Linked DNA regions of Mus musculus. The protein of the gene in region 2 binds, or shares a complex with, the protein of the main gene of each other region. Links are inferred from orthologs where the notes say so. Each region holds a gene or a part of one and is shown on either strand. Other genes may lie near its edges.

Evidence for each region.
Region 1: the proteins of Med1 (region 2) and Med24 are in contact, whole or in part, in a cryo-EM structure (PDB 8T9D), measured with the Homo sapiens proteins. The link is inferred for Mus musculus from reciprocal best matches to the Homo sapiens genes MED1 and MED24. Residues at the interface, in NP_004765.2 of Homo sapiens: Phe375, Asn377, Gly436, Leu437, Gln439, Glu441, Ser453, Asn459, Asp460, Ser461, Leu462, Val463, Cys464, Tyr480, Lys481, Gly482, Asp485; in NP_055630.2 of Homo sapiens: Lys7, Ile10, Trp14, Lys15, Arg17, Leu47, Ala50, Met51, Ile52, Gly53, Pro54.
Region 3: Med1 (region 2) and Med25 share a complex: the UniProt entries of both Homo sapiens proteins name them as parts of the mediator complex. The link is inferred for Mus musculus from reciprocal best matches to the Homo sapiens genes MED1 and MED25.
Region 4: Med1 (region 2) and Med21 share a complex: the UniProt entries of both Homo sapiens proteins name them as parts of the mediator complex. The link is inferred for Mus musculus from reciprocal best matches to the Homo sapiens genes MED1 and MED21.
Region 5: Med1 (region 2) and Med26 share a complex: the UniProt entries of both Homo sapiens proteins name them as parts of the mediator complex. The link is inferred for Mus musculus from reciprocal best matches to the Homo sapiens genes MED1 and MED26.
Region 6: Med1 (region 2) and Med13 share a complex: the UniProt entries of both Homo sapiens proteins name them as parts of the mediator complex. The link is inferred for Mus musculus from reciprocal best matches to the Homo sapiens genes MED1 and MED13.
Region 7: Med1 (region 2) and Med19 share a complex: the UniProt entries of both Homo sapiens proteins name them as parts of the mediator complex. The link is inferred for Mus musculus from reciprocal best matches to the Homo sapiens genes MED1 and MED19.

The regions. Positions count from the first base shown.
Region 1 is NC_000077.6:98,715,920-98,719,419, reverse strand, and holds part of Med24 (mediator of RNA polymerase II transcription subunit 24), read left to right. Parts: intron 1-136; exon of another isoform or gene 137-149; intron 150-563; coding exon 564-602; intron 603-849; coding exon 850-923; intron 924-1,277; coding exon 1,278-1,510; intron 1,511-1,654; coding exon of another isoform or gene 1,655-1,711; intron 1,712-2,894; coding exon 2,895-3,006; intron 3,007-3,138; coding exon 3,139-3,289; intron 3,290-3,500. UniProt on the Homo sapiens protein: Component of the Mediator complex, a coactivator involved in the regulated transcription of nearly all RNA polymerase II-dependent genes.
Region 2 is NC_000077.6:98,190,494-98,194,475, reverse strand, and holds the start of Med1 (mediator of RNA polymerase II transcription subunit 1), read left to right. Parts: upstream 1-1,182; 5' UTR 1,183-1,392; coding exon 1,393-1,417; intron 1,418-1,569; exon of another isoform or gene 1,570-1,669; intron 1,670-3,982. UniProt on the Homo sapiens protein: Component of the Mediator complex, a coactivator involved in the regulated transcription of nearly all RNA polymerase II-dependent genes.
Region 3 is NC_000073.6:44,876,265-44,879,344, reverse strand, and holds the end of Med25 (mediator of RNA polymerase II transcription subunit 25), read left to right. Parts: exon of another isoform or gene 1-1,054; coding exon 1,055-1,320; 3' UTR 1,321-2,580; downstream 2,581-3,080. UniProt on the Homo sapiens protein: Component of the Mediator complex, a coactivator involved in the regulated transcription of nearly all RNA polymerase II-dependent genes.
Region 4 is NC_000072.6:146,641,410-146,645,378, forward strand, and holds the start of Med21 (mediator of RNA polymerase II transcription subunit 21), read left to right. Parts: upstream 1-1,169; 5' UTR 1,170-1,201; coding exon 1,202-1,243; intron 1,244-3,969. UniProt on the Homo sapiens protein: Component of the Mediator complex, a coactivator involved in the regulated transcription of nearly all RNA polymerase II-dependent genes.
Region 5 is NC_000074.6:72,545,511-72,549,472, reverse strand, and holds the start of Med26 (mediator of RNA polymerase II transcription subunit 26), read left to right. Parts: upstream 1-1,162; 5' UTR 1,163-1,506; coding exon 1,507-1,578; intron 1,579-3,258; exon of another isoform or gene 3,259-3,397; intron 3,398-3,962. UniProt on the Homo sapiens protein: Component of the Mediator complex, a coactivator involved in the regulated transcription of nearly all RNA polymerase II-dependent genes.
Region 6 is NC_000077.6:86,284,597-86,288,096, reverse strand, and holds part of Med13 (mediator of RNA polymerase II transcription subunit 13), read left to right. Parts: coding exon 1-6; intron 7-1,189; exon of another isoform or gene 1,190-1,206; coding exon 1,207-1,663; intron 1,664-2,764; coding exon 2,765-2,984; exon of another isoform or gene 2,985-3,027; intron 3,028-3,500. UniProt on the Homo sapiens protein: Component of the Mediator complex, a coactivator involved in the regulated transcription of nearly all RNA polymerase II-dependent genes.
Region 7 is NC_000068.7:84,684,902-84,688,401, forward strand, and holds the end of Med19 (mediator of RNA polymerase II transcription subunit 19), read left to right. Parts: intron 1-289; coding exon 290-546; intron 547-701; coding exon 702-798; intron 799-1,289; coding exon 1,290-1,384; intron 1,385-1,964; coding exon 1,965-2,033; 3' UTR 2,034-3,314; downstream 3,315-3,500. UniProt on the Homo sapiens protein: Component of the Mediator complex, a coactivator involved in the regulated transcription of nearly all RNA polymerase II-dependent genes.

The DNA.
Region 1 (3,500 bases), about 530 kb from region 2:
ACCACCGCCCGGCACAGTTAATCTTGATAAAAGGAGCAATGGGCCTGATTAGTGTAGAGGCTCAAATAGTTCACATGCACACACCCGCCTCTGTGCTTCAGGTTGAAATTAGGACACATGCTAGGCCGGCACTGACCACCGAAGTGCATCTTCAGTCCAGCAGAGTCACGTCTCCACCCTTGCCTAGCAGGCGTGGGGCTGAGCTTCATCCCCAGGACTCCCTGACCCCATACAAGACAAGACCGTCATTCTGGGTGATTCTTTTGCCCACTAGTGGCCAGTTGAACTTCATTTAGTTTTGGAAAGGAACAGCATAAAGACAAGGCAGGATGCCTTTGGGTACTCGAAACCCTCTCATTCGGCTTATACGCATGCCACTTGCACTGAGTCTGATGGAAGCAGCGATAAGGACAGCACATGTTACTGTGGGCCTTTTAATGAGCTGAGGAAACCTCTTGAAGGGAAGGGGTTGGGGACCTCACGCTGTGGCAGTTTAAGCATCAGTGCTTGCCCCTCCCAAGTAGATGACTTGTCTCAACGTCCTGTGTCTTCCTTCTTTCTAGATGGTGTCCTGCTCCTCTGTGCTCACCGCCATCAGTAAGGTATGACTGTGGCTCTCAGGAGCTGTGGGAGGGGGCAAATAAGGCTACCAGCCTGGCCACTCAGGTCATGTGTCCCCTGAGGCTGGATAGGCAACACCTGATGCCCCCCGCCCAGGAAGGAGGTCCTGGAAATTAGGAACACATTTCCATGTGGCAAGTCTGTGGCCCAGGGCTTGGGGAGGAGAGGTAGCAGAGCTTGTGAGAGGTAGTGCTGAGCCCCCTCCATTGCTCGCTGTTCTTTCTGCAGTTTGATGACTTTTCCCGGGACCTGTGTGTCCAGGCTCTGCTGGATATCATGGACATGTTCTGTGACCGACTCAGGTGAGAGATGGATGTGGAAGCTCAGAGCATTGCATCATCCTTTCAGTGCCGAGGAAAGCCCAGAGTCTAGGGGACGGACTGAGACCAGCTCTGGGTCCCAGGCTGCTTCTGTCTGCCTGCCTTCCCACCTCCAGCTTCTGTTTCCTTAAGACAAAGTGCCTCTTCTCTATTTGGAAGAGCTACTCTAAGATCTCGTCTAGTGGAAGCTGGCTAGACTAGGTGTCTTACCTAGGATTCTGCCAACTTTCCAACTCTGTCCCCTAGTAGTGTTGTGCCAGAGACTCTGGGGGAACATTGGTGTGGGTTGGATTTCAGCTTTTGGAATAGATACAAATTTTCATCCTTTTTGGGTAGTTGCCACGGCAAAGCAGAGGAATGCATCGGGTTGTGCCGAGCGCTCCTTAGCGCCCTCCACTGGCTGCTTCGATGTACAGCAGCTTCTGCGGAGCGACTCCAGGAAGGGCTGGAGGCTGGCACTCCGGCCCCCGGGGAGAAGCAGCTTGCCTTGTGCTTGCAGTGCCTGGAGAAGACCCTCAGCAGCACCAAGAACCGAGCCCTGCTACACATCGCCAAACTAGAGGAGGCCTGTATGTCCCCTGACTCCCCCACACCCTGCCTGCTGCTGCTTCTGTAGCTGGTCCTTTGATTGAGAGGGGAGAGGCAGGATGCCATCCCACTTCTTTCTAGAAGGATCCGAAATCATCCCACTTCCTTTTTTCTCTCCCCATAAGCATTGCATACATCCCAGGGACTTGGGCAGGGTGGCACCCGAGCCAATCAACCAACAGGTATTTACTGAGCCTTCTCGTGTGTCCAGCACTGTGCCAGGTGCTGGAGGGGGGGATGGGGGCTTCCAAAGGAGCATGTGGCAGGGTCCCTGCCCTCAGCAAGCTTACACACTGGTGGGGAGTAAGATTGGAATGCCATGCGCCTGGAGAAATTGGAGGACAAGACAGGCACGTCGTCTGCTCTTGTCTGTCTTCATGTTGCTCGCCTAGAAGCAGATGACTCAGGTGTGACCCGGAACTTCAGTTAAACTCAGTGCCTGTCAGCCATGACTGGATGCTGTTCTCTCTTAACTCAAGTTCTGTTAAGCATTGGCACCTTACAGATTTATAGGAGGGAAGTCTTCATGAGTCCTGAGCCCCAGCAGCTAGGGCCACCTAAGGGTTCTCCATTGACAGGAATGCTAAAATAGGTGACACCCATGTCTTCAGGGCTCAGTGGGAGAGGTTGTTAGGGGATTAGTCTCTCTGGGAAAAGTCCAGAAAGAGACCGATCACTGTGTCAGAATGGGCTGCTCGGACAGCTTTTCTTCATCTGCTTTCTTGTTAGTGTTGGCAGTGCCTTGCCTTCCTGGGCACTTGATAAATGTTTATTGGTAGAAAAGTAGATGAATACTTCATTTTGATGGATCTCAGGTCTCAGTTGTCTTTCTCTTGTCCCTGTGCTACATGGAGGTTAATTGGCTAACTGGTGCCGTCATTCATCATTTGACCCTTTGGGCTTGTAACTAGGATAAGTGACTAGTAATTAAATACTAAGTATGTGCTGTAGACCGTGAGTGCGGCCATTTAAGAGAGTGTCCAGTGGGCTCCACCAGCTGGGTAAGCTATTCAAAGAGCAGAAACTCAAAAGCTGTGTTGGCAAGGTATTTGGAGCTAGAGTAGAAGTGACTGTCCCCGCTTGGCCACTGGATGCTGTACCCACCCCTGTGCCTTGCTCCCATTGCTTGTGTGTCTCGAGTCAGTTGTGTGTAGTCACTGGAAGTCAGGCCCTTGGTATGGTTGCTAGGGGGGTCTTTGTTCCCGGTGCCTACTCCCCTTACCCTACCCTCAGGACTCTGCCTCCTCGTCCTCAGAGGTTCCTTGCTGGATGCTTTCACGGTCCAGGGAGCGCCACGGTCGGGGAGTGTGGACCACGCCCTGCCTCTCCTTCCCAGCAGTTTCTGCCTTGCTTTTTCTCCACCAGCCTCCTGGACTGCCATAGAGCATTCTCTTCTAAAACTTGGGGAGATCCTGGCCAATCTCAGCAACCCCCAGCTCCGGAGCCAAGCTGAGCGTTGCGGCACACTCATCAGGAGGTTAGGTTTCTGCCGGAGATGGGAAGATGGGCTCCATGGTCTGTGTGTGTGTGTGTGTGTGTGTGTGTGTGTGTGTGTGTGTCCCGCTGTCTCCTCAGTTCCCAACACGTCCCCAATGGTGTCTCTCTTCAGCATCCCCAGCATGCTGTCCGTGCACTCCGAGCAACTGCACAAGACCGGCTTCCCCACCATCCACGCACTCATCTTGCTTGAGGGCACCATGAACCTGACCGGGGAGATGCAGCCCCTGGTGGAGCAGCTGATGATGGTGAAGCGCATGCAGGTAGGCGTGGCCAAGCAGGGTGGGTGGCCACTTGGGCTAAGAGGGAGTAGGCTGGTACTTAAGAGGAATAGCTCTTTTTTTTTTTTCTGAGACAGTGTTTCTCTGTGTAGCCTTGGCTGTCCTAGAACTCACTTTGTAGACCAGGGTGGCCTCAAACTCAGAGATCCACCTGCCTCTGCCTCCCAAGTGCTGGGATTAAAGGCGTGAGCTC
Region 2 (3,982 bases):
TGGGTTTTTTTTTTTTTTTTGGTTTTTCGAGACAGGGTTTCTCTGTGTAGCCCTGGCTGTCCTGGAACTCACTCTGTAAACCAGGCTGGCCTCCAACTCAGAAATCTGCCTGCCTCTGCCTCCCTAGTTCCTTTCTTTTTCTTTTATTTATTATATATATATGTATGTATGCGTGTATATGTGTATATGTATGTGTGTGTGTGTGTGTATATATATATACTGTACCTGTCTTCAGACACTCCAGAAGAGTGAGTCAGATCTCATTACAGATGGTTGTGAGCCACCATGTGGTTGCTGGGAATTGAACTCAGGACCTCCTGAAGAGCAGTCGGTGCTCTTAAATTAACTGAGCCATCTCTCCAGCCCCTTCTTTCTTTTTTTTAAACAACATAACTGCTTCTGGTTCTTCAGGAAATTTCACCTTCCCACTTTCTCTAGGAATTAAACCCAGGACTTCAGACATGCTAATCAGGTATGTTGCTGGTGAGTTACAAGTCTTGTCATCTTACAAATCTTACTTTTTTGTTGTTTTGTTTTGTTTTTGTCCAGGCAAGGTTTCTCTGTAGCCTTGGCTGTCCAGAAACTTTGTAGACCAGGCTGCCCTCATACTCAGAGATCTACCTGCCTCTCCCTTCAGAGCGCTGGGATTAAAGGTGTGCGCCACCACCAGGCAAACTCTAAACACCCAAACACTAAAACTCACTGGAAATCTTTCAGTAGAGATTATTTTGTAAGGACCGGTTTTCACTATCCCCTTCCTCATTGGGATTATAGGAGTGTGCCACTTTTCCAGGTGCTCAAAGAGCAAACATTTTGTTTCGTTTGAGACAGGGTTTCTCTGTGTAGCCATGGCTGTCCTGGAACTCACACTGTAGACCAGGCTGGCCTCGAACTCAGAGTTCCGCCTGTCTGCTGGGATCAAAGGCTTGAGCCGCCACCACCGCGGGACGGAAGAGCTAACGCTTTTAATTTACAAATTGTGTAACTGTCGGGATGCAAACATAAACTTTCAGAGAGATGTCAACTCTGGGCACACACCCTTAGACGCCAAGGTGTGAATTCTGAGCCAATCGGAGCCGGGCCTGCTAGAGATCCTGCGGGGAGGACGAAATCAGCCAACCTCCGCGAGACTTTGGTGCGGTTCCTTCTTCCTCCGTCTCACAGGAACACGATTAATCTCGCGATCTTTGGGAAGTTCCGTTGGGGAAGATGGCGGCGGCCGCGAGCACCCTTCTCTTCTTGCCGCCGGGGACTTCAGACTGAGCCTTCCCCGGAAGAGTCGGGGCCGCTGGTGCGCCGCTTCCCCGGAGCCCAGGCTAACTTGGTTCCCCTCTGAGTGGCGGGGAAAGGCTCCCCGGCTCGTGGCGGACCCAAGACCTCCCCGCTGTCAGGATGAAGGCTCAGGGGGAAACCGAGGGTGAGTGACTGGGGGGTGGCGGGGAAGGAGGGGCGGTACACCGCTGCGGCGAGCCAATCCGAGAGAGGAGGTGGGGACCCACGCCCCTCCAGGGCCACCGTGCGTGGGACCGGATCCTGGTGGAATGTGCATCTTAGATCCCGACCGAGCCCTACAGATGCTGGAGCGCCTCCTCCGGGGCGCTGCTCCCCCGTCTCCTCCACTCGTGAAAGGTTTTCTGCGGGACGAGGGACGAGGAAGTTGAGCCTCAGGGTACTTTGAGCTTAGCCCGGTGGGACCCAAGGAGAGGGAAACTGAAACTTGTTGATGCTTTGTTCCAGGAGAGATCGCTGAAGATGACACTAGAACAATGTAATGTCAAAGTAATGGAGGGTGTTTTAGCCGGAGTGACTTGCTTGGTTCGATCTTCATCATAGTAAAAGCGGGCCGTTTATTACTTGGAAGGTCATAGTGTTCAAATACTGTGCTGTGTCTTTACGAACTGCTTTCAGTTGTGCACGACCGGTGGCTTTAAAGCTTGGGGGAGAGGTGTTCAGAACTATAAACTGGCAGGAACAATCCCCAAACCAGTTTCCCAGTTGAGGGAAGAAAAGGGAAGGGATAGAATCTTCTTTGTTTCTTGAGACAAGGTCCCCCTGCCTCAGCCTCCCAAGTGCGGGCTTACACACCTCTCGGCCAGCTAAGAGTTTGATTCTTGGTTCAGATACTCCCTCCCACGACCTGGACTGGCTTATCCAAAAATGAAGTCTCGACATTTGTAGCAAAGTGGACGATACTCAAAATAAGCCATATTAAGATAAATAGCACATTTTCTCTTATGAGGAATCTCGACGTAGGTATGTGTTGGTGTGTGTTGGTTGTGAAAACATGGGACCATGTGGGAACAAAGGAGGTCTGCAGGATAGAAAGGTTAGTGGAATATGAAATGAAGTGAGAGGTTTGGCTGTTTGGAGGTTGGGGCAGTGTGGCTCTCAGAGGGAGAGGACTTGGACCAAGTATAATGGCCTATATGTATAAGAATGCCAAAATGATATGCATTGCTTTGTATGTTAATTTAAAGATAATTTAGAGGCTGGGAATGTAGAGCAGTGGTTAGAGTAATGTCTTCTTGTCCATGGGTTCAATTCCCAGCACCAAAAGAAAAGGAAAAAGGGAGCCAGGTGTGGTGGCCCACAGCTTTAATCCCAGCACCTGGGAGGCAGAGGCAGGCGGTTTCTGAGTTCGAGGCCAGCCTGGTCTACAGCGTGAGTTCCAGGACAGCCAGGGCTACGCAGAGAAACCCTGTCTCCAAAAACCAAAACAAAACAAAACAAAAAAAACCCCTAATTATTTTTTTTTTAAAGATTTTATTTATTATATATGTAAGTACACTGTAGTTGTCTTCAGACACTCCAGAAGAGGGTGTCAGATCTCATTATGGATGGTTGTGAGCCACCATGTGGTTGCTGGGAATTGAACTCAGGACCTTCAGAAGAGCAGTTAGTGCTCTTAACCTCTGAGCCATCTCTCCAGCCCTAAAACCCCTAATTATAATAACGTCTTCCTTAAATTGTGCTCCAAGTATATCCTTCAAGGTGTTGTGAGCCCAAGGGTCCAGTGAGAAACCCTGTCTTAAAAACTAACACGCAAAGAGCCAACTGGTGATGGTTCCTGCCTTAGTCCTAGCACTTAGTAGAAAGAGGCAGGTGGATCCCTGAGTTTGAAGCCAGCCAGACCTACAAAGAGACAAGACAGCCAGGGAAGCTCTGTCTCAGCCGTACCTCATAGCGGCACACACCCATAGGAGGCTGATGAAAGGAGACAAGAGGATGCCTTAGAGCATAGTCTGGGCAAGCCTGGGAGGTGACCCATGTTTATAATCCTAGCACTTCATAGGTAGAGGTAGGAGTATGAGGAGGTCACCACTTACATTTCTTTACTAGGAGGTAGGGCATCTACCATATCCACTGTGGGCTCTGGGGCGTGAACCCAGACTCTCATGTTTGGCATTGCGGGTGCCTCTACTCTTGTAGCCATCTTGTCAGCCCTCAAGGTCATGGTCAGCTGGGCTGTGAGAGACTGTCTCAAAATGGAAGAAAAAAAGCAGGGAGGTGGCTGGAGATCGAGCTGAGGGTTTAAGAGCCCTGTGCTTTTGGCATAGGTTCAGGTTTGGTTCCCAGGAAACACATGTCCACGTAGCAACTCACAAGCATTTGTAACTTTAGTTTCAGGAGTCTCGGTGTCTTCTGGCCTCCATGAGCACTGCACAGACATGCCACACATCCATGAGTCAAAAAATCAAAACAATAACAGCAACCCTTCCCCCAAAAAAACCCAAAAAAATGCATACCCAACATATTTTTTTTTGAAATAAAGAATATGTATTTCATGTGTATGGTGGTTTTATCTCCCTGTATTTCTGTGTACCAAGTACATGCCTGGTGTCCTTAGAACCCAGAAGAGGAGAGCAGATCTCCTGGGACTGGAGTTGCATGTGACTGTGAGCTGCCATGTGGGTGCTGGGACTTGAACCCAGAACTTCTGAAAGAGCAGCTAGTGCTCTTTAAAGGATGCATTGGGCATTGT
Region 3 (3,080 bases), on a different chromosome or scaffold from region 2:
TCTCGCCTTGCAGACTCCCCAAGGCCCCGGCTGGGTGATGCTGGGCCCTGGGATGAGTTGGAGGCAGCATGGTGGGCCTGGTTCTGGGAGACTTGGAGCAGGTGGGCAGGAAGTGTACAGCTCATGTGCACTCAAGGGGTTAGAGCCCAGAATGCCTCTGACCCAGCCAGGGTTCCGAGGAGCCTGGAAGGAGAAGCAGAAATTGGGAGCCAGAAGGACCTAGGTGTAGATAGCCAAAGCCACAGCGCAGGGCCAGCAGGGCCAGCAGGTGGACACTCCTGGAGCGTGAGCGTTCAGGAAGGAGCCAGAGCCGGAGAGTCCAGACTGGGGAGCTGGACATTTGTCCTGGGCATGCAGGACTGCATAGACTGCTAACGGGGCGGGTGTCAGGAAGGTGTGATGGATTGTAGGAGCAGGGCAAGCAAGAGGCAAGGTCATGGGAGTGTCTAGGTGACACATGCCACACCAGGAAGTCAGGATGTCCCCAGCACTGGGTTCAGTTGAGTGTGGGTGAGTTGGGTAGCTCCTGTCTCGCAGAGTACCCCCAGGCTTGTGTGCAGGGCTTCCCCCTGGAGATGGAGTGAGATGTTTGTCACACAGGCACATGTTGTCCTGAGTGTGGTCTGTGCCTGGACCACCACTGCCTGGGTGTGGGACGTCGGTTAATGTGCAGGTGACCCACCCATACCAGGAGAGAGGCTGCAATCTAGTGGCCCATGGGCCACCACAGATGGGTTTTGTTTGGCCTTCCCTGTGTCAGCATGGCACTTTGTCCTCCCGTTAGCTGTAACGCTCCAGTGAGGCTCACACAGTGTGCAGTCTGTTCCTCTCGATGTGTCAGAGACTGACACTGGACCCGCCCTTCTGCCTGGCAGTCGTAGCCCCGTCAGTGGGGCTCATGCTCTTGGGTTCGCCACAGTCCCCACCACTCTCTCTTGCTCTTCCACGGTGAGGCAGGGGCCCTGCCTCAGTCACGGGGCTGGCACCATGGTGGTTGTGTGGTAGCATTCAGAGAAAAGTGAAATCTTTCTTGTACCCATGTCTCCTTCAAAAGTGGCCAAACGAAAGAGAGAAGGAGAGGGCCGCGTGTTTCGAGAAAAGTGGGAGCGAGACTATTTCTTTGTGGAAGTGAAGAGCATGCCTACGTGCTTAATATGCAAAAAAAACGTGTCAGTGCTGAAAGAGTACAACCTGAAGCGCCACTATGAGTCCCAGCACAGTAAGAGCTACGATCAGTACACAGCGCAGAGCCGCGACACACTCCTGCAGGAACTGAAAAGGGCCCTGAGAGCCAGCGAGGCGCTGGAGAGCCAGGAATAGCCATGCAGTGCAGTGGAAAGAACTCCCGTGTTCTGAAGAGCTGTCATCAAGGCTGTCCTGTGAGCCTGACAAGCGTCTGCAGGCTGAAGCACACAAGAGTGAGGCCTTCCGGATCCACACAGAAACTCTGAGCACATGGCTAGCTTTATTTATTGGTGGTGGTGGCGGCAATATCCATGCAACCGAGGCAGTCTGTGAGGTGGCACCAAGCCAGCCCCTGACTTTGAAGTGACTTGCTCCTGTGCATGCAAACACATCAGAATTCATAAGCACAACTACAGTCCCATCATGGTGACCAGGCTGTCCATCATGGGGGCTGTTCCATACCTCGATCCCAAGTGGCACTGTTTGCAAGGACCCAGGTCAGGTCCTAGTCTCAGTAACCAGGAATTGAGATGCTCAAAGAAACACCATGACGCCTTCCTCGACTCTGCCATTCCTGTACTTGAACTGAGCCAATTGCCTGAGACCAGGACATGCAGGAAATCTGAACTGGTATGTTTGGTTCATTTCAAAGTGTGCAGAGCCGTGCCCTGGTTCCCTGGAGGACAGTTAGAAACTTTTGGTTGAAGTTCCCACCCTTGTGAACACTGAATCTGTCTCAGAAGGGATATTCACGAACAGCTCCTGAATGTATATGACTGTGGTGTGGTCCTGGCAGGCGCATGCCTTTGCGAGGAACAGTGGGACTGCCTGCCTTTGGTGCAGCTTGTTTCTGGAAATGAGAGGCGGCCAGGACCAGTCACCCACACTGTGAGACCCAAGACCAAGTCCCCTGAGGGCCATACTCTACTTGAACCTGAGCTAACACTGGCTAGCTCGCCCTTACGATGATGTGAACGCAGACCCCGGTCCGAGTTGGCAGTGCGACAGGGTGCTTGCAATTCTGCAAGATGGCAAGGTTCCTTTGCCTCTGCCCAGCAGTGTCCTGAGTGGCTGCCCACGCTTGTGACAGTCATTGTTTTCCGTTACATACCTAAATCAAAAACTCCATTTTAAGGATTAAGGTTGACATTTCACCTGCCGTCTCTGTCCCAGCCAATGCCAGCACCGACATCTGGGTGAAGAAGGGCAGGTGTCAACCTTCCGCTCAAAAGGCACAAGAAAATTACAAGAGAGAAATTTTAATAACTAAATATTTCTATTTTTCAATTTGTATTTTTTCAATTTTGAATTTAAAGTATGAACTCTAGTATCATCCGTGTTTGTGTTGTATTCCATGCGTTCACCATAGCTCAGTAAAGATCCAATTTGATTATCTTTCTGGCCGTGGGCTTTCCTTCTCCCTGCCTATTCCACCCACTTGTGTGACAGCCTGGCCCCTGCTAGCTGGTTCACATCTGCCCCTGCCCTGGGGCCTGGCTGGGAGGGACTAGGAGTCCTCTTGTCCCACGAGGCCCCTCCCCTGGGTGATTCTCAGAAAGTAAAAGAGGCATAGGGGACCAAGGTGCAGCTGAAGCTATGAAGGTGAGGTGGTGGTGTGGCCATGCAGCCAATGTGTGCCCGTGGCTCTGAGATGTGGGGGTGCTAGGGACTGTGGCGAACCTGGAGAGTGCGTGCCCTGCCTGGTGGCCTTCAAACCCAAACCACTACACACACTGAGGACCAAACAAAATCTGCTGTGAGTCTCATGAGGCCATTAGACCACCATTTTGCGACCTCTGGAAGAAGGAGACTCCAGACCCAGGACACAGCTTCAATGGAGACCCATATGTGAGGGGTGGGTAGGGAGGGGAGAGCTGTTGAAGCAGGCAGGCTTT
Region 4 (3,969 bases), on a different chromosome or scaffold from region 2:
TACCTCCCAACCTCCTCATCTGTTATGTCCTCCTCTGTTAGGATTCACCAAGAAGGCTCTCTCACGATGACAGTCCACCTTGATAGTGGACTTCCCAGCCTCCAGAACACTGTAGGGAGTAAACGTTCTTTGTAATTGCTTGTCTGTGCTATTCAGTTGTAGCAACAAAAAACAGGCTCACATACCCACCCACCTCCAACTCCAGAAATGATCATCTTGGAAACTATGATAAACAGTTTGTCTGAGTTCCACAAACCAGGTATTTGCAGATTCAGGACTCACTTCCCATCAGAATATCCCCAGGCTAACAGAAATGACCTTTCTGCTATCACCCTTCACACGGAAAACTGTCAGGAAGCCCCAGTTCTAAATTTACATTCTGAAGCTGATCTTTCTTAAGATCGAACCTGCCTAGACCGGGCGTGGTGGCGCACACCTTTAATCCCAGCACTTGGAAGGCAGAGGCAGGCAGATTTCTGCGTTCGAGGCCAGCCTGGTCTACAGAGTTTGCACCTCCTACCTTCAAATGCTCTTCTTCCTCCTTTTCACTTTACTTATCACCCGTTCCTCATCACAGAGCTGTTTAATGCTTTCCATTTCCCCCAGGCACTCCCACTCAGAATTAAAGCACTAATCTAGTCTCCAGTTGGGTAAGCACCTCCTGCCCCAAACTAATTAGCCACCCTTTTCTAGCCATTTTGATTTCCTGGAGAATGTTAATTTCTCGAATTTAAATGTTGTGAATGGCGGGCTGCGAGTATGCTTTGTGGTATACCTGCAAAGTAAAAGCAAAGGAAAACAAGTGTTCCAGATAAACAAAACAAAGAAACGAACGAACAAAAACAAAACCCCTCACAAACAAAACACATTCCAGGCCAGCCAGGACTACACCGTGAGGCATAGCCTCGTCAGAGCTAACAGACAGAATGGAGGAAGCACCTTCCCTTCACAGGCTCGGTCCAGCGTAAACGCGAACCCGTAGCAGCTCAGCCTGCACGCGTCCCTCCTCCCCCACACCAGCCCTGGATCCCACCCGCCTGACGTCAGCAGGCCCGCAGGCTGGCCCCGCCCCTCCCCGGCAGCATGCTTCCTTAACCACGCCCCTCAAGGAGGAAGGCCTGTGATTGGTCCGGAGGCGTCATAAATTGGCCAATCGCTCGCGCTCTAGCAGCTTTTGCGCACCCTTGCGTGCGTGGTGAACATGGCGGATAGACTCACTCAGCTGCAGGACGCTGTGAACTCGGTGAGGGCTTTCCTCTGCTCGCCAGCCTTGCTTTCCTGACGCGGAGAGAGGAGGAAGGGGCGAGGCAAGGCCCCGGGGAGCGCGCAGATTGAGGTCGCCGCGGGCGGCGCACCCCGTGAGGCCTGGGTCTCACGTAGTCCACAGGGCGGGGTCTGAGGAGACGGGCCTGTCCTGAGGGGAGACCGGGCCGGGCGGCTTGTCCTGAGGGGAGGCGGGACCCGGGGGCCTGTCCTGAGGGGAGGTCGGAGCCGCCAGTCTCTCCTAAGGGAGGTGGGACCCGGGGGTCTCTCCTGAGAGGATGTGGGACCTGCCAGTCTCTCCTGAGAGCCATGGGACCCGGGGCCTCTGGTGAGGTGCGAACTTGAGGAAGGGAACGAGTGGCCGCTAATAAGGAGGGGACCCGACGACGGCCTCTCCTGAGGAGACTCAAGGTCTGCGGCCAGGTAGCCAGGAAGCGAGTACTCAAGTTCCAGGGATGCTTCTAGAACTTCCTTTGTGGGGCAGCACACGCCTAAGCACTTTTGTGTGTATCCCTCCCTCGCGTTTCAATTTCAACCTGCCAAACGGATTTCTCCTGTGATTCCACCTCTGAGGCTGAGACAGGAGGATTGCAGCGAGCTCCGGGCCAGCCTGAGCTCCAGTTTGATAGCCCATCTCAGAAAACAAAACACAAAAGACCACAACAAAGTGTTGAGTGTTTGTAGGTTGGTGTATGAGTGACCAGGGCGTGAGCTTGCCTTGCTTTCTGTAGGCCTTCACTCCTCCCTCCGCTCTTGGCGACTCCAGCACCAATGGTTGGAGAGTAACGTCTAGAAGAGGCCAGATCCTGGCCTCTCCGTTTCTTTGCATTTGTTTAAGTCTGCTTTACGATCTTCCCTAAGAGGCTCTTATAGGTGGAGTGAAGCTCTTACAGCACAGTACCACAGAACAGTGAATGTACACAAGAGGGATTTTTGTTTTGTTTTGAGATGGTCTCACTGTGTAGCTCTGGCTGACCTGCACACTGTGGAGACCAGATTGGCGTTAAAAACAAAAAAAAAAAACAGCCCAGTAATCAAAATCTACAACAAAAGCTCCTGAAAACTGCTAGCTTCTCTAACTTTGTCGCCTCTGGCTGTTATTCTGGCTTAATTGTACATGAATGGAAAACTAAATACTGAGCCTGGAATGGTGACCCACATCTTTAATTCCTGTAATCCCAGCACTTGGGAGGCAGAGGCAGGCGGATTTCTGAATTCAAGGCCACCTGGTCTACAGAGTGAGTTCCAGGAGAGCCAGGGCTACACAGAGAAACCCTGTCTCGAAAAAAAAAAACCAAACCAAAACAACAACAACAAAAATAGTGCAACAGTTTTCCATTGGTAATTAAAATCTCTTAGTGTCATTCTGGTTGTAGTTTGATGTAGAAGAGCCTACACAGTATATGCCTGCTGAAAAAAAAAATCTAAATACCTAGTTCTCTGGACAGTGTTTTTTAAACAGGAATGTTATAACAAGGCTTCTTGGTAATTCATCATTTTTGAGAGTACATTGAAATTGTGTATCTACTAGTGGGAAGACTAGTCTATTCTGTGTAAATAAAGTAGTTTTAAAGTTGAGGGGCTATCTCTTAAATGTTGATGAAGTCACCAAGGTACATTCTGTTTTGCAAAGATTCCCTGGGCTGCCAGCCAACCTCTCCCAAGAAAATACTTTTGTAATTTTACAAGTCTTTCTTGTTTTAATTTAAATTTTTTTGGTTTTACAAATCTTAATAATGCTGTGTAGAAGCTCATCTCCTAAGTATGCATATTCATGTAGGTCCTATAGTTAGGATGTTAAGGATACGATATAGTCTTAGGAGTACTGATAATTGAGTTAATATGTATGCCTACTGTGTCTACAGGGAATGTGTTTACAAAGAACTATTCTAGGAGCTTAGAAAGATGTCATAAACTCAAGAGACTTTTAGATGATGCAAACAAACCCCATATGTGGCTAGGGAGTTACAGTGGATTGTTTTCAGCTCTTAAGAGCTAAAGTAGATTGGAACACAGAGCAATATTAACATTTGTTCTGCCATCTGGAAACTCCATGTTCATTTCTATAATATATACAGTACTTGTCATGGAGTTGGTTTTTCAATAAATATTTTTGAACAGATTAATAATGGGTCTTGAATGAATTTACAAGACAGAACACTAGCTGCTGTATTGAGTAAGCTTCATTTATATTTTTCTTTCTTATGACAGTGCTGCTAAATAGAACACTGCAACTTAGAAAGCCAACCAGGTTAGCTTTTCAATGACAATTCAGAATTTTACATTGAAATAATGACAGCAAAACAATAGAAATGTTTATTGATTGGAAATACTAAATGAGGCTTCAGGGGTTAGGACTAGTGAGAACATATGTTTAGTTTGTGAATGGTGTGAACTTATATTCTCAAATTACTTAAATGCAATGCTTTTTAGTTTTGCTTCTTTTGAGGCAGAATCTTATGTAACTCTGGCTGGCCTAGAACTGTCCACATACTCCAGGATGGCCTCAAACTGACAGATCTGAGTGCCTCTGTCTCTGCCTCTCTTATGCTGAGATCCATCATGCCCCAAAAACAAACAAATTTAAGCAACAAGGTTACAACTTGAATCTTGAAGAATACATTTCTGATAATTTACAGTTTAAAAAAATTTTTGTTTTTCATGTAGTACAAACTGGCCTCAAACTCCCTTACATAGTTGAGGATG
Region 5 (3,962 bases), on a different chromosome or scaffold from region 2:
TCCAGTGAGCCTCCTGCCTCCCAAGCGTTGGAATTAAATGCCTGGTTCCTCACCTCCCCCAGTACCCCCCCCCCGAAGTATGACAAATTTAAAATTAACAGGTGTTGAGCAGCTCTCAGAAGTACATGTGGTTTTCATTACCTGTTTCCCTTCCGTTTCATGTCTGGATTTTTAAGGTTACAACACTACACGAAGTTATTTCTCCCGAGGCCACTTTCGTATAGTGCACTAAACTCGGAGCCCGCCCTCCATCTGTCCAGTTGTAGGGGTCACCGAAGGACGGAGGACCGCAGCCTTTATACTTGACTTCCTTCGTTTCTTGGTTTGACTTAAAACTCCAGGTGACCTTGGTGCTTCCCTTCCTCCCCCGTGAGGCGTTCCTGTTTTCCATCACCTGAGATGCAAAGGCGGGGTCGCTCCGTCCCCTCGGAACGCCAAGGGGAAGATGCTGGGCGACGGTTCCGCATCCTGCTGTTCAGACACAGGCTGGCCACCTCCAGCCCCCCCCGCCCCCCCCCCGCCTCTAGGAAGGCGACAAAAGCGGTGCTTCCTCTTGAGTTCCAGCCCCGCACGGATGCAGACCCGAGGTGTCAGCGTCGCGCAGGCCTTGCAGACTTGCGTCCTCTGCAGAGGTGGCAGCTCCCAGACGTGACCTTAGGTCCCCGCAGCACGCGGGTCACATGGGGACACGCACTGCCCTGCAGACCCGCGCCTGGGGCCTCTGCAGCGGAGAAGGCTGTGCGGAGCTCCTCCGAGCTCCTCGAGGCACGAGTCTAAACGCAGGGAACCGCTGCCTTCCTCAGATTACCTATGGCCGCTCCAATCCTCTGGTTTCTAAACGCAGGAGGCCCTCATCCGGGGGAGGGTCTTTCCATTCCGCAACCCCAAAGCAGTCAGAAGATAGAGTCGGTGTTCCAGGACTTGAAGGGTGCGCTTCCGTTAGGAAGCCCATCCCTCCAGTCCCGAGTGGGCGTGGCCTTCAGATAGCGTCCGTTGCCACGCCCAACTGCCTCCCAACGGCCCTCTGTGTCGGACCTCGGAACCAGGCGGCAGGACCTGCTAATTGCGCCTGCGCGCGCGTGCGCACAATCAATAGGAGGGGCTCACGAGCCGGACCCTCCCAAACCCGGCGTCTCCACCCGCCCCATCTCCCAACCTCCTCAGCGTGGCGCCGACGCTGCGTGCGGCGCGGGTTACCCAGAGTGCTCAGCGCGGGGGGCAGCTCACTGGAGTTTGGTTCTCGAGGCGGCGGCGGCGGTGGTGGCGGAGGCTCCTCCGTCGGCTCCTCCTCCTCGCTCGGCGGTGGCGGCGGTGGTCCGGGGCCTGAGCTCCGGTCCCCTCCGCTTCCCTCCGTCCTCGCCATCTCCCCGAGCGCCTTGACCTCCTCCGGCGCCGCGGGGAACATGCGGCTCCGTTCCCGGAGGCCGGCGAGTGACTGACCCGCGTTCCCCCTCCTCAGCCTGCCCGCCCGCCGGCCCGGCCGCTCCCCCCCGCTTCGCCCAGGCAATGACAGCGGCTCCGGCGTCTCCGCAGCAGATGAGGGACCGGCTGCTACAGGCCATCGACTCCCAGAGCAACGTAAGTGACTGCCTCGCGATCGGGGACCGAGGCCGCATGTGTCGAGACCCTCCCCCTCCGACGCGCCCCCGGCTAGGGGCTCTCTCCAGGCGGTGATCTGCCCGCCACAGCCACTGCCATCTCGGTCTCTCTTTCTCCTGGGTCCGGGGACCGCAGGCAAGGCGGATTGCCCGGCAGCTGAGGGTACCTGAGGCCGAGGCTTCACGCGGCCTGGACTGAGGGAGCGTTTGGAGCTTTGATCAGAGCTAGTTCTTCTCCGTTGTCCCAGCCCGACCGCCCTTGGTGGTCCCCACCGTGCCTCCTTGCCTCACCTCAACCCTGGGAACTGAGAACCCCCCGGGAAGGTCTCCCTGCCGGGGGCAAGGTGGGAAGCAACTAGTGTCTCCGCGATGACTAGAGTAGCCCGCGTCTCCGGAGTCTTGGCCTTTACTCCCCTTCGGTCTCCTGGCTGAACCTCCTTCTTGGCTAGGAGGGAACCCTAGGCCCGTTCTGCCCCCAGTCTGTCTACCTGTGATGCCTGGAGAGTCTCCTCTTTTTTCTGATAGTGGACAAACCTTTCCTGGGGTCTTTCTAGAAAAGACGACCCTGCAGAGAGTGGGATCCTTCCTGTCATCTTTCTTGGCCTAAATGCTCCATTGCGCATCTGACCAGAAGCTAAAGCATGGGATTTTGGTACTGAGTTACTGCCCGTCATAGTTGATTGTTCTCTTATTCCTACCTTCCGGTCCTCTTTCCATCTCTCTCTTGCCCCTCCTGAGGTGCTTTGGGCCCTAGCCTGTCAAGATTTAATTGTAAGGGGTTACTTTATGTCACACTTTCCTCTGCTAAGAGTCCTGTGAGCAGAGGGACATCTTTTTCTTCCTGTGTGAGCATAGACTAATTTCACCTGTTCTTGTATTTTTCCCAAAGGTTTGTTGGCAGTGTAGGGGGCGGGTATCCTTGTTGCTGTTAGGAGCAGGGCCATGGGAAGATGCACAGGCATTCAGATATGAGGTGTTTGCTGGGAGACCAGGAAGTGGCCTTTGAGATCACTTTTTAATATGCTCGGGATGGAAGAAAAATCATCTTGGGCTTGGACAGGTAACCGAGGTTTGAGTCTTTTGAGTTCCCTTGACTATGCTTGACCAGTTACTCTTAGCAATGTACAATGTACACTGTATTGTGGTGTGTTCAGAATAATTCACATTGTTTGTGTGGTCTTGGTAGAAATAGAGGTGCTCTAGTTTCTATGAGATCTGCTTGCTGGATCCAAAATTATTTTCTTCTTGGTCTTTAAGATCACCTTGATAGTAATTTAGTAAATACTGTAGACATTTTCTCGAGGTAGAATAGGGACAGGCTAGATAAAAATCTTCTAGAAAGCCTTTTTAAATTTTTTTCTTTTTTCTTTTTTTGGTTTAAGGTTTTGTTGGGTTTTTTGTTGTTGTTTTGTTTGCCAGTGATTGGTATTACTGACTGTAATCACATGATTGATATATTAGGATATTAAAAGGTAAAAACAAGAGATAGGAAAACATAGCCTTGATGGCTTTTGCATCTTTGCTGAAGCCATAGTGTACACAGTATAATTTTTTGATGTTGTTTTTCAAGAAGGATTCCTCTTCTATGTAGCTTTGACTATCCTTGAACTTGCTCTTTAGACTAGGTTGGCCTCAGAGATTCTCCTGCCTCTTCTTCCAGATTAAACGATTGCACCACCACTGCTCATCTCTTCCACAGTGGAAATTTTAACTCCTGTGTAACTCCTTTGCTTGAGATCTTATCAGAGATCCTGACTGCTTGTATGTGAGAGTGTTGGGACCAGCAAGCGCTTTGACAGGTAATCATGATGCTATAGATCAGGTGGGTCCAAGTGTTAGGTAAGGTCTGACTAGAAGACCCTTTGTGGGTAAAAGAAGGAAGGTAGACAGCCCAAATTTTAGGTTTTTGTTTTGTTTTTTTCTGAGACAGTCACTGGAAGTCACTATGTATGTAAACCAGTGTAGTCTCACAGAGAATCTGTCTGCTTCTACCTCCCAAATGCTGGAATTAAAGGTATATGCCACCATGCCTGGCCCAAACATTAGTTTCTTGAATTTTCCCTTGGTCATAAGTATTACTATGCTCTTTGGCCTGTGGGTAAGTTGCTTGGAGTGTATATCTCAAAGGGAGACCTTATTGTGGTGGATGGAGTTGAGAACTTGTCTCTGAGTGAGGAGGGAAGTGTTTCCCAAAATGCACTGTCAGTGACCACCCACAAAAACAACTAGGTATATGTGCCAGGGGCTGGCTTTGCAGAATCTCTTTGTAGAATCAGCCTGGAGCACTGTCCTCCATTTCTTGCTGTGGTATTGAAGGGTCCCTGGACATTTGCACTGTTTCCGTGATTGCTCAGGGCCCAGGTA
Region 6 (3,500 bases), about 12 Mb from region 2:
ATTTAGGTATTAAATTTGTATTCATCCTACAAGAGCAATGTGAGCAGTATGGGTTGGTTCACCATCTAAGTTTGTAAATAAAATCTTTGTGTCATGTGGCCATCTCCATGTTTTCAAACACTGTCTCTGCCTGCTTTTGTCCTGCAAAGTCAGAACTGAATAGATGTGGCAAAGACTGTGGTTTCAGACTTAAGTATGCACTGTCTGACTGTCCATAGAAAGTCTGCTAGCTCTGTATATGGGAATGCTATCAAGTAGTCATTATTGGTTCCAAAATATTCTCTGCTGCTTCTGTGGAGTCTGATGTTTCCTGCCATTGATCCCAGCATTCCGGAGGCAGAGTCAGGATCTCTGTGAGTTTGAGGCCAGTGTGGCCTCAAGACAACAGGGCTACACACATAGTAAGACCCTGTCTTTAAAAACATTTTTTTTTGATTTGTTAATAACTTACATACAAATATTTTCTAAGTAACCTTCTGCAACACCAAAAAAAGTCTTATTGTAGCTAATCCTATGGCTGTTATTTAAATCTTTTTGTTATACTCTTAAATATCAGTGAACTTCTTTTACACTTAATCCAAAGAGATGCAATACCAAATTACTGAACCTAATTAGACATTTCTGAAAATTGAACCTCATGATAATATCCCTCCATTTTGTATTTTAGTTAGCTATCAATCTAGACAGTATTTCTTCAACTTGTGATTTAACAATAGTTGTAGTGGTTTGATGAAAAATTGCTACATACTTATACACATTTGTTGATGTATTCTAATTTTTTCTTACACTTATTACTTGTGTCGGGATATATGCCACTGTGAACCAGTGGAAATCAGGACTACTTGGCAAGGTTGGTTTTCTCTTTCCGCCTTGTGGTTTCTGGGGGTCAACTTAATCACCGAGCTATCTTGTTAGCTTTTGTTTACATTTAATTTTGCCTAAGAAATAGAATTTTCTTACATTTCATACTGACTATTTAAAATTTGAATGAAAATATGGGTTTATTTTTATAATTAATTTAAAACATTTTTTCTTTTTTTTAAAGTTTCTGGGAGGGAGTAGGAAGTTAGTTCGTGCTGCACTGTTAGTATAAAGCAGTTAAGGGAAGATAATCGCCATAAAAGTGTCAGCTACATTGTTATTTCTATAGAAGAATAAAAATAAGTCAGTGAAATCAAGAATTAAATACCCGTTTTTGTTCTTTAGGTCCATATCTTGCTTCTCAGCCGTTGGACAGCTCTCTGCTCTCCCAGCCAAATTTAGTTGCCCCTCCAAATCAGTCTTTGGTTACTGCACCTCAGATGACAAATACTGGAAACGCTAATGCTCCATCTGCCACCTTAGCATCTGCGGCAAGTAGCACTATGACAATGACTTCAGGTGTTCCCATATCTACTTCAGTTGCCACAGCTAATTCAACTTTGACCACAACTTCATCTTCATCATCTTCCAGTCTGAGTAGTGGAGTATCATCAAATAAACTGCCTTCGTTTCCACCCTTTGGCAGTATGAACACTAGTGGTACAGGATCCATGTCTGCACAAGCAAGTACGGTTCAGAGTGGCCAGCTAGGAGGACAGCAGTCGTCATCTCTGCAGGCAGCAGGAATATCAGGGGAGTCAGCTTCTCTTCCCACTCAGCCACATCCTGATGTGTCTGAAAGGTACCGTTAAATATTAGGATACTTGGGGTTGAAAGATAGTTAAGTAGTATGTAGCATATGTGTTTAGCATGCTTGAAGCCTTATGTACAATGAATGAATAAGTATAAAAAAATTAAGTTTGTGGAAATACAGAATCTATCGACTCTTTATCTAAGTAAACAGTGACCTTACTGTGGAATTTAGTTTAATCATGGTAATTATTTTACGTATGAAGTTATAATAAAGATTGTTTTTAAATTTTTCATCATAGAATCACAGGGTTGGTGTTTAGATCTTAAAAATTATTCAACTCCAGATAGTCCTATGATTGAGTCTGGCTGTGTCATAAGCAGATGTAATTGTTTATGCATATTACACAACTGGTTGCAAAATCTCTGTGTGCCTGCCTCTGTGTGCGTGTGTGGGGTGTGCGTGTGTATATCTGCGTGCATGTGCTAGAGTCTCACTGGAGCTGGCACGTGCGAGGCATGCAGCCTTTCACTGTGCTACGTACGCTTCAGCTCTGCTTGGGAGGCTTTAGACTCTGAATCCCAGCTCTGTCCTTGACTCACTTTGTGATAAGGAGAAGGTCTAACATTGTTAGCATTGCATCCATATCTGTAGTATGGAAGCAGTTCTACACGCTGCACAGCAATTGTGCTAATGGTAATGGATCTCATTGTTTTTATATAAAAGTCCTGGGGAAATTCCCTTATCAGACAGTCTGATGCTCATTGTTTCTCTGCTTCCTAGAATGCAGTTGTTTACAAATTCACGCTCATAAATATGAGGTAAAAGTAGACTATTATCTGAACAGAAAAACCTGGCTTCTGTCTGGACTAGCTCTGTTTCTAGGCAGGCTGCTGAGCATGACCAGTTACTGAGATGCCTGTCAGAGAGACCTTTAGTCTCTTACTGTTAAGCTGCTTGAGAATTCTTTCTTTTAAATGCACAAAGCCTCTTATTTGAAGGGATTTCATATGGTGTGAAGTGTAAGTATCCTGATTATCAGAGAGGTTTTCTGATGCCTTGCCCCAATAAAAGAGGGATGTAAGGATTCACTTTGGTGCTGTACCAGGCAGACATAATACAACATTGTTCTCTTTCTACTTCAATTTTTAGCACAATGGATCGTGATAAAGTGGGGATTCCCACAGATGGTGATTCACATGCAATTACCTACCCTCCTGCAATTGTTGTTTATATAATCGATCCTTTTACATATGAAAATAAAGACGAGAGCACTAACTCTTCTAATGTATGGACTTTGGGGCTCCTTCGATGCTTCTTGGAAATGGTCCAAACTCTTCCTCCTCATATCAAGAGCACTGTTTCTGTGCAGGTAAGGATTTCTTCATGTTTCAGAGTTTCACAGTTGTTTTTCTCTGTTCAAAATAATTTTGTTAAAAGACAGGTTATATTGATTTCACTTAAATATTATAATAGGAGTTTTAAGAGAGTTTATAAAAGATAAACTTTATAGTTCTGGGGGCTAATTAGATGGCTTAGCAGTGAAGTGCTTGCTGCTCTTCCAGAGGATCCAGGATTAGTTCTTTCCACTCATATCTGGTGGCTCATAGCTGTCTGTAATATCAGCAACTTTCTGTGGGTACTGTTATATACATGGAATACCCACATAGAGACAGACACATGAAATCTTTAAAAACCTTGATTGTCATTCTACAATCATGAGAAATACAATTATATTGGCTGTAGGTGGTGTGTTTCTAACTAATTCCATGAAGCTGAGGCAGTAGGATCAGAAGTTGCAGGCTAGCATCAGTACATAGTTCCAGACTAGCCTGGGCTATGTAATAAGATGTTTGTTAACCTCCTAACACCACCTCCTCCTCCAACC
Region 7 (3,500 bases), on a different chromosome or scaffold from region 2:
AAATATAGTCCTTCCTGGGGCTGGAGAGACAGCTCAACAGGATATGCAAAAGAGCCAGGTCAGTTCCTAAGGCAGCTCACAACCTTCCTTAACTCCAGTTCTAGGGATCCAACCCTCTCTTCTGACCTCTGCAGGCATCAGACATACATGGTACACATGCGTAACATGCAGACAAAACAAACATGCATATTAAGTAAATCTAAAGATTGTTTTCTTTTTCAATTTCCTTCTGAGTTACTAACAGAAAGTTATCTGCTTTTGGTATAATCTCATTATTACTGTTTTCTAGGCAGCACAGAGCTGACGGGCAGCACCAATTTAATCACACACTACAACCTGGAGCAGGCCTATAATAAGTTCTGTGGGAAGAAAGTGAAGGAGAAGCTAAGTAACTTCCTGCCTGACCTGCCAGGGATGATTGATCTCCCTGGCTCTCATGACAACAGCAGCCTCCGATCCCTCATTGAGAAGCCTCCTATTCTTGGTGGCTCTTTTAATCCAATCACAGGGACCATGCTGTCTGGTTTCCGCCTCCACACTGGCCCGGTGAGTCTCTTTTTGGGGAGTAAGAAAGCAAATAGCCTGAAAGGCATGAGGTAGCTTTCTTTTCTGTCCAAATCTGTTCTTTCATAATTTACTGAGAACAGATGATGGGAGAGAGGATTTTCTCTACTCACCTGGACCTTCCTTTGTTCCCTCAGTTGCCAGAGCAGTGTCGTCTGATGCATATTCAGCCACCCAAGAAGAAGAATAAGCATAAGCACAAACAGAGCCGCACCCAGGATCCTGTTCCCCCAGGTAAGGAGCACCTCTTATGCTCTTATGATGGAGACACTGGCTCAGGTATGGCCTGGCCTTTCCAGTTATGCTTACTCTGGACCACCATTTTCCCCAAGAAGAAACTCATTTAATGACATTTCTTGGGCAAGTAGTGACTTGACTTAGCACAGGTGCTCTAGCGTCACCTCTATATCTTTTCTGGACATATGAGAAAAGTAGTAGTTAGGATTTCTAGAGTTAGATTTTCCTGTAGCCTTAAGACTTTATAGCAGTAGATCTTTTGTTGTTGTTAAGATTTATTTATTATATGTAAGTACACTGTAGCTGTCTTCTGACACACCAGAAGAAGGCATTGGATTCCATTACAGATGGTTGTGAGCCACCATGTGGTTGCTGGGATTTGAACCCTGGAATAGCAGTCAGTGCTCTTAACCACTGAGCCATCTCTCCAGCCCTATAGCAGTAGATCTTAAGCTCAACAGGTTATAGACTCTTAATGCTTCCTACAGAAACACCATCTGATTCAGATCACAAGAAGAAGAAAAAGAAGAAAGAGGAGGATCCTGAACGAAAAAGGAAGAAGAAAGAAAAGAAGAAGAAGAAGGTAGGGGCTGTTGTGGTTGGGACTCAAGTTTTCCCTGTGTCACCTTTTATTTCATTTCATTTATATTTTTATTTATTTTTGTAGTTATGAATACATGTGCTTCCCTACATGAGTGCAGTATCCTGAGGCCAGAAAAGGGCTTAAGCCCTGGAGCTGAAGTCACAGCTATGATGGTGCTGGGAACTGAACTCAGGTTTTCTACAAGACAGTATATGCCTATAACCACTGAGCCATCTCTCCAGCCCCTTATTGAGATAGTGTTTCACTGGGTTGTTCTAGGCAGGTCTTGGACTTTGTTTGTAGTGCTTCTGCTTCTATTTCCCAGGTAAATGAGATAAGTTTATGCTAGCAGGCTCATTTTGTATTATTTATTTAGATTTTTTGTTGTTTTGTGACAAGGTTTCAAGATATAGTCTTGGCTGGCCTGGAACTCACTTGTGTAGACCAGGCTGGTTTCTATCTCAGAGATCTACTCTCTTCTATCTCCAGAGTGCTAGAATTAAAGGCATGCACCACGACATCCAGTTAGGTCCATCTTTTAGTTTTTGAATGTTCTTACTCTTTTCTTTGTTTTCTCCAGAACCGACATAGTCCAGACCACCCAGGTATGGGCAGCTCTCAAGCCAGCAGCAGCAGCAGCCTCCGCTAATAGGACTACTGGACTTGGCCAAGGATGGCTTTCCTGTGATACTGAACCTGCTGATAAAAACTTGTCTTCCAGGCAGTTGGACCCTGTTGTGGGGGCATCCAACAGCTGGAGAGGGGCCAGCCCCTGCTGTGCATGTGACTAATACACTTTAGGGAAGGACCATGCTTTTTTATGGTTATGTCCAATTGGCATTTTCATGGATTCCTTTTTACAAGAATCTGTTTTTCTTTTTTTTCCCTCTTTTGTGCAATTTGATCCTAGGACTTCAATGTTTTGTTTTAAAGCGTGTTTAACAAACTGACCGGTATGGCTGCCTTTTAAGAGGCAAGTGCCATTCTATTTGAATCAAAGTTTAGGACAAGGCATTAAGATGCAAGAGATTTTGGATCTTGCCATCACATTATTTCCTTAGCAGGCTGGAACTGGAAAATCAAAATGCGAATAGAGAACATGGTCTGAAAACAGTAACTTGCTACTATTTTCCTACCATAGACACAAAATACTCGCTGATTATGCTCAGAGCAGAGTGCATGGATGATCTTCACCTTTCACCTGGAAAGCTGGCCCAAATAAGGTTTATACCTGTGTTTATATACCACAGGGAACTGGTGAGCCACAATCACGGATATATTTTAGCAGGAAAAGCCAATTAGTATTTGTCTCATTATGCTCCCACCTTTTTCTGGAGCCTGACCCCTAAGACTTGTGAACACTAGGCAAGTTTTATCTTTTCCTTTCCCTCTCTTGACTTTTTTTTTCCCCCCTACATACTTTTTAAATGAACCTCTGGCAAGAAGCTTAATGCTGGATTTGGTTGTTTTGAAAAAAGTTTTGGTTTGGTTTTTGTAGGTTGTTTTTTGTTGTTGTTGTTTTTGACACATCACACTATGCAACCTTGGCTGGCTATGAACACTAGGCTGGCCCCAAGCTTGAGAGACCCATCTGCCTCTACCCACCAAGTTCTGGGATCAAAGGCATACACCACCATGCTTAGCTGTTTTTACTTTCAAAAGGAAACAAAGGAATAGCAAGAGATTCAACAGAGAGGATGTATTTGTTATGAAAAGCTAGGTTTTTCTCACCCAGCAGGGCATTTAATTGGATAGCCAGAATAAAAACAGAACCAGAGAATGAGGTTTCTCTTTTGACTCCCTAAGACCATTCACCCTGCCTTAACCAGACAAAACACAAGTCAGGGGGGACTGGTTAGATCAGGATTTATTTTATTCCTTGTTGGTTTAAAATGGCTAATCAGAATAAAAAAATTAAAGGGTCTCTGTATAGAGGCTGGAGTCTTCCCTGTTTAAAGGTTAGAACCCAGCTACCCCCTCTACCCAGCACCATATTGAGATGGGCTAAGGGGTAAACCCCAAGGGACACTCGGAGGGGCCTAGGCCTGCCACTCCTTCTCTCTATCCCATTTTTGGCATGTGATGAAAAATATTGCTTTTTGGATTCTTCTCTCCT